Cricetulus griseus: one gene and its partner. The protein of the gene in region 2 interacts with the protein of the main gene of each other region in a pairwise test. Links are inferred from orthologs where the notes say so. Each region holds a gene or a part of one and is shown on either strand. Other genes may lie near its edges.

Region 1 (3,820 bases), on a different chromosome or scaffold from region 2:
CAACAGATGGGCTAGAGCAGAAAGAGCTATGTTGGTCTGCACCAGTCCCAGTCGGCCAGGACAGTTGGGGTAGAGTTGCTCATGGCTCCTCTCTGTCAGATGACAGAGATGAATCCACTGTGAATATCAAACCCAAGGCCAAGGGTTTCTGAACTCCAGGATGGGGTCTGGGGTTGAGGATGGCTTGGTACAAAGTACCAGCACAAACCAGGCTCTGTGTCCTCATTTATTATGAGTGCATAGTCCATGTCCCTCTGCCCACTCATCCAGAGTCCAGAGCCCAGGAAGTCTCTAGGCTATTCTGCCAGATCCTGGCGCTTACCAAGAGCAAAGTGCAAGACAGACTGACCAGTTCACGCAGAATGTTAGGGCTTCAGCTGCCCAAGTGTGTGCGCAGCCAAAGCACAGTATTCATGAAGCTGTCTGACTCCACCTCCACCTCTGATAGTGCGTGGGTGCTTTTGGGATAGAGCAGGAGCCTGTGTGAGCAGCAACACATGAGGTTGGTGGTTCTTGTCCTGCTTACCTGCCACAGCTACCAGGACTATCCTCTGACACTCACCGAACAGGCACATTCCGGGCCTTGAGGGCACGGTAATACTCCATACCCTGCCTGAATGGTACACGCCGGTCCTCCTGGCCCAGCATCAGTAACACAGGTGTCTTCACCTAGGTGTATGGGGAGCAAGTTGCTGTGGTGAGCTGAGCTCTGGATTCTGGATGGATGGGTAGCATACACACAAGGATACCTGGGTACCTGAGGGATATACTTGATGGGTGATTTATCTAGCATCTCCTCCCACAAATTCAGGTCTGGCAGGCAGTCATTGCTATAACGGAAGCCAGCCTCCACCACACACCTATAAAAGACCAAGATGATGCTTTCCATGGGAATTTGGGGTAGAAGGAAAGACAAAGGACCTGTGATGCACACTCACCAATCAGGGATGTCAGTGGAGCCCATCATGGAAGCAATATTGATTACAGGGTTCCGAGCTATACAGGCACTGTATGTCTCTGGGTACTGACCAATCAGGTGGCAGGAGAGGAACCCTCCATGGGAACCACCCATCAGGGCCACACGGTGTGCATCAAAGCCTTCCTCCTGGAGTACCTGCTCCACTGCAAACTAAAGGGTAAGAAGAGTGTGCTGCAGCTAGCTTCCTGTCAGCTGAACAGAGCCTCGAACCCACCTCCCTGTCCAGGACACTGTCCAGCACCCTGCTACCTGGACATCCTTCACATCCTGCTGGCCCACATTGCCTGGGAGAGAAAGGATGTTGTCTTGGCCAAAGCCAGTGGAGCCACGATAGTTCACTAAAAGGAGGAGACAAGATAGTATTCTCAGCCCTCTGGACCTCAGTTCCTAGGACCAGCAGCATCGCAGGCTGTCAGGGGACCTAGTCAAGAGCTATGAAGTTGCTACCCTTTCTTACCTAGCAACACTGCAAAGCCCATCTTGCAAAGCATGGCTGGGAACAGCATCCAGGCAGTGACAAAGGATGAATGGGGTCCCCCTGTGACAGGAAGAAGAGGGTGAACAGGCCAGCTAGCAGCTTCATAGGAAAGCAAGCACTCTTAGGTAGACACCTACCGTGGGGCATGACTACCATGGGCACCTGGGTCTTATCTGGAGGGTTGCTGGGCTGTAGAAGGATTGCTTCAAAGTCAAGGTCAGCTGTAGGGAGAAGGCAGTAATCAGCAAGACCAGTGCTCCTTCACAAGTGCTCCCAGCCAAGGCCCCATCTGTAGCTATGGCGTGAGTCTGATCAAGACAAACAGGCCTGGCCATGGTAGCTCACACCATGACACATGGACCCCGAAGGCTTGTGCTCTTTTTGCCTAGTCAGAGAGCCTAATGTCTGAAAAGAGCACATTCTGATATAGTCACATAAGCCTGTGTGTGGCCTATTTTCTCTGGGCCTTAGTTTTCTCACCACAGAGGACATGCCCTGGCAGGGCCTGGTGCTGATAACCACAGCAGGTACTCGGATTTCTGGATGCTACTCCCCATGACCATAAGAACAGAAAAAATTTTTGAGGAAATCCTAGAAAGCCTGAAATGTGAGCTTGGAAGGGTCATCACACACGCTGTGTGCTGGGGACCTGGAGAAGGCCTCCGTGTGCTGTCGGCCCAGCTCACCATATTGCACATTCTCTTGGTCTGGAGGTGGATGCAGCACACGGACGCCCCAGAGGATGTCAGGAATGGGTTCAGCCTCCTCCAGGGACACCCACGACACGGACTGTTCCTTCCCAGCAGGAGGCAGGAACCCAACTTTCTGCCAAGGGGAAGCAAAGTGTCACAGGTGGCCAGTGCTCAGGAACTCATCTCTAAAGGGCACAGCATAGATTCTTATGAGTGGTATATGACAATATACATCCACATATGAACCACTGCCTACCACTACCACATTTCTTGGCTTCTGGGTTCTTCTGTCTCCCTGTACTCTAATACTGTAGGACTTGGCACGTTGTTCAGGACAGCACAAATGCTAGTCCCTACTTACAAGTGTCAGCCATGGTAAACCATAGGACTAGGGTGGATCCAAGTCTCCGCCCTTCTACATGTTGACCAGCCATGGCCAGCTGTTGGCCTGGAAGCTTGTAACTCCTGCCTTCTAGCCTGGAACTCACCAATACTCACCAGGCTCGGGGGCAGGTTGGGTGTGGAGAACTGGGCCACCATAAGGTCTTGATCAATTGTAAGCAACTTCCAGCTTCCACCTGAACCCCCTAGAGGAAGCAGATGGTAGTGTTTGGTGGGGGGTCACCACTTTTGTACCTTCAACCCTCAGAGGCACCCCTTAAGAACACCTAACTGTATAGCCCTGGGTAAGCCTCCTGGTTCAGTCCCTTGTTTATCTGACAGACACTGGCTTGTGCTCAGGAACTGCCAGGCCTGGGGACACAGAAATCTACCAAGATACTCTACTTACTCCAATGACCAGTGTAAAAAGGATGGCAGCCTAGCCCAAAAAACAGGGTCAGGGAAAGGGGACTGGACAGTGGGGTCTAAGGTTTATTTATTCACTTATTTACTTATGTGCATTAAGCCTTATGTATGGTAGACAAACACGCTAGCAATGAGCTATGTCCCAACCCAGAGATACAGAATTAGAACAAAACTCTGGCATCTATGGAGCTTTGAATGAAAATGGTCCCCATAGGTTTACACGGAGTAGCACTATTAAGAGGTGTGGCCTTGTTGGAGGAAGTGTGTCACTGGGGGTGGGCTTTCAGGTTTCAGAAGCTCAAGCCAGGCCCAATGTTTCTCTTCCTGCTGCCTGCCAGTCCAGATGTAGAACTCTGGGCTCGTTCTCTGGCACCATGTCTGCCTGAGTGCTGCCTTGCTTCCCACCAGGACAATAATGGACTAAACCTCTGAAACTGTAAGTCAGCTCCAATTAAATGTTTTCTTATTATGAGTTGCCATGGTCATGGTGTCTGTTCACAGCAATGGAAACCCTAACTAAGACAGCATCTCTCTGGAGGAGTACGTAGAGACAGGGCAGGTGGACAACTCAAAGGCTGTTCCAGGGGAAGACAATAGGCTCAAGTGTGGGAAAGCTAGGGAATCAATCCAACAATGGTTTCTCCAAGGCTTGGGCGGGAGGTAGATGACTGACAGCTTAGCAAGAAAGGCCTGCAGATTTTGGGGTAGGGGTGGGGCTGTAGAGCCAGTGCAAAGGGGCACTGGAACAAAGGAGGTAGTGCGCTGCCCAGATCCCAAAGGCCGTGGAGCAGTTCGTGTTAAGAATGACTTGAGACACACTTCCTATGTCAAGCAGCTCCACTCCCAAACCGGCTGCCCTTCCAC
Region 2 (3,344 bases):
CCTGGGTTCCCCACAGATTGCCCAGTTACACACACACATCTAGAGCCTCTTGGGCTCTCCACAGATTGTCTGTCTCCCCCCCTCCCCCAAAGCTTGAGTTTTTCAATAGTTGTCAGATGGATTTCCATGAAAGGAAGGAAGGACTAGCAGTTGCACTTCCTAAAAAGTAAGAAATGCTGACAGTATTATTTCCCACGTAAGTATACATCTGTCTGGGAAAATTGGCTGTGCCTACTCCCAAGCCCTGGCAGAATTCTGTCCTGTGGTTTAGTCATAAAATGACCTGATGAAATTAGCTCTTCTCCCTCCCCGTACTATATCTGTAACAAAATCGGACTTTACCTGGGGCTTCTCCCAGCTCCAGTCAAACAACAGAAGTTACGGGAGTGTGGCAGTTGAATTTGCTGATGCAAGTTTACTTAGCAGACAGAGCAGTGTCTGACCTCACTGCTGATGGAGACAGACATGTCTTCAGACCCAGAGGGGCAAGCACTGGTTTACACTCCAACTCAACATTACCCTCCTGTGTAATTCACATTCACTGAGTCTCATTTTGATGTCAGTTACCCAAAAAGGTTTAACAAACTGCATTTATCCATTCCCTACCACACTTTGCCACAGGCACACACAGACTTGAGTGCCAATAAGCAGAAATCTGCTTGGAGCAGAACACTTGTTCTAATTCAGTTTTTTTTTTTTTTTTTTTTTTTGCCTCAATTTTTCTGCCATGTTCAGCATATTAATTATTTTATAAAGCTTAAAGCAATGACGACTAAATAAGTGTTATACAGTCTTATAAGATATGATTGGATGCTGATTATGAAAAGGATTACTGGGGAAGTAATGTTTTCCATCCATTAGTATATTTTTCTGACCTTAACTACAAATGCCCCCTAATGGGGTTAATGCAATGTCAGCAGAAAGACCCTACTGTAAAATCATGGATGCCTGAGTGCCAGAAAACAGGGACCACACTGGTTCTGGGCACCTCTGTGTCTATGCACAGCTCAGAGAATATACACAAGAAATATGCCTTCTATCCCTATTAACTGGTATATTAGAATAGGCACTTAAACATTTGTTGAGTGTGGTTTTACAAGACGGGACCCCATGTGCAGAGCCTCACCAGCAGTAAGCTGGGATTGCCCCAGATTTGTTCCTCTGAACATAGAGGTAGCCACACTGCATGGCCAGGCCTGAGAATACCAGATAAAACTTGATGTTGTATGAGCTCAACTTAACAACATAAACAATGTGGTGAAAGCCAGATGCATTTGACATGGCCAGTATCACATAAGCCGTTTTGTATTTTAGGGTTTTGACAATCATGGTAGCTACCAGCTCCTTACATCCAGCAAACGGATATCACCATCAACAGATAATGTGTCAATACTGCTTAGCTCTTTAAATCTGTGTTTGTACTCCAGGCTATGCACACCATTTACTGCAACCTTGAATTCTCGGACATCACAGTAAATTATCATCTGAAAAGAAAGGAGATATACCATCAGTAGCTGCCCTTTGTTTGAAATTTTATGCTTTTTTTATACTAACAGACAGTCAAAAGGAAAACCATTTGGCTTGCTTTGAGCTTGGAGATGTTTCCCCAGCCTTCTACCATTGACTCCCCTTCTGAGTGACTTCACAGGCAAGGCAACCCAAATCCCCAATGTACCATGTGGCATCTCCTTCACCCACTATGTCTCACCAGATCCTTCCTTTAGGAGCCCCCCCCCCCCAATCCCCACCACCACCACCACATTCTGCTCCTGGCTTTTAGAAGGCTGTAAAGTGTCTCTCCATGTGGTATTTGGGAATTAACAGAAAACTGCTGATCACTGCCCCCCACCTATTCCCTGAGAAACTGAGTGTAACTATCCTGCCTCGATGCTAGGGTCTTGGCCATGTCAACTGATGACATTCCAACAGCTTGGGACACTTGGTAAGGAGAGCAATTACTCAGTAATCCTAAGTCTGTCCTCAATCAGAACATAATGGCCTCTCTACCTGTTTCCAAAAAGCTTGTCAGGGTCATGTTCCCAGGCTCTGCAGCTATTGGCATTTTGGCAGATGCATACCTATTGCCCACCCTTCAGATTGTTTTCCTAACAGTAAACCTAACATCCAAAGCCAGTATCCTGTTACACTGCCTGAACACCTAACCCTGTGCTTCACTGCCACATTCTTAAGGTCAGTAGGCTCACTGACTGTACCAAGTGGCCACTCACTGAAAAGGCCAGTTTGGTGTCCCTGCACTGTGCTCCTTGCCACAGTGAAGCCTTTAGAAGTCAGCACAGCTAAGACTAGAGTATCAAACTTAAATCTGCAAAGACCCTTGTTATGGTTCTATTCTTTAGATGGTAGCAATGGGAAAAGCTACCATAGGAAGTCAGGACAAGGGACAAATGAGCACATAGCATAACTGACTAGACCGAAGTAGTGCTACACAGGGAACTGGGGAATTACCTACTACTTGAGCTATCTCCCCAAGAATGGGGGAAATCCCAAGTTCAACTAGCTGGAAGGGATATTGGGTGACATATATTTAAGAAATCTCGGATCATAATTCAATCTCCTATTGTATAGCTCAACAGAAAAGGGGTGGAGATGTAGGGCAAGAAGCCGGATGCAATCCTAGCAAGTTCCCCCTGTTGTAACAAATAAATGTAAAATCAACAAGTGGAAACACTGCAGCAAAACGCGCACAGGAAGAAGGCATGTGACCTGCAGAGTATTCTCCTAGAAGAGGAAATGAAACAGCAGACACCACCCCCCACCCCCAACCCCCCCCCCCCCCCCCCCCACCACCCCCCACCCCAGTGACCTCAGAACAGCTGGGAAAACACAATTTTCTGACTCAAATTCTGTCTGCTCTGGACTCAGGCCTTCAGAGCTGCAGGTAGCCAGGCCTAACAGCATCCAGTATGGTGAAGTTGATGCTCGGTGAGCTCCACTTGATGCAGTGACACAGCCAGTGTCACAAGCTATTTTGTATTTGAACAGCTTATCAATGCAATCCAATATTGGATGAGATTTTTAAGACAGAGCTGGGGTGGTAGTTTAGTGACTCGGTGTGCTGGCCTGTGAGGCCCAGCATGACTATTTTTTTTAAAAGAGTGGGGCTGGAGAGATGGCTCAGTGGGTAAGTGCACTTGCTGTTCAAGCGAGTGTGAGGACTTGAGGTTGGATCCTAAGACCCAAGTAAAATGCTGGGCCACCCAAGCACCTGTAACCTATCGGGGGTGGGGGGGGGGTGCTTACAGGATCACCGGGGCTTGCTGGCTGCTAACTTAGCTCCAGGCTCAGTGAGAAACCCTGTCTCAAAGACTAAAGCATTGAATGGT

The links.
Region 1: the proteins of Lgals8 (region 2) and Apeh interact in binary tests that used the Homo sapiens proteins (3 or more experiments, as listed by UniProt). The two-hybrid records come from large-scale screens. The link is inferred for Cricetulus griseus from reciprocal best matches to the Homo sapiens genes LGALS8 and APEH.

Annotation. Positions count from the first base shown.
Region 1 is NC_048597.1:216,278,670-216,282,489, forward strand, and holds the end of Apeh (acylamino-acid-releasing enzyme), read right to left. Parts: intron 2,737-3,820; coding exon 2,648-2,736; intron 2,283-2,647; coding exon 2,144-2,282; intron 1,679-2,143; coding exon 1,595-1,678; intron 1,518-1,594; coding exon 1,437-1,517; intron 1,318-1,436; coding exon 1,229-1,317; intron 1,130-1,228; coding exon 939-1,129; intron 861-938; coding exon 758-860; intron 670-757; coding exon 563-669; intron 480-562; coding exon 374-479; 3' UTR 213-373; downstream 1-212. UniProt on the Homo sapiens protein: This enzyme catalyzes the hydrolysis of the N-terminal peptide bond of an N-acetylated peptide to generate an N-acetylated amino acid and a peptide with a free N-terminus. It preferentially cleaves off Ac-Ala, Ac-Met and Ac-Ser.
Region 2 is NC_048596.1:236,452,360-236,455,703, forward strand, and holds the end of Lgals8 (galectin-8), read right to left. Parts: intron 1,485-3,344; coding exon 1,335-1,484; 3' UTR 680-1,334; downstream 1-679.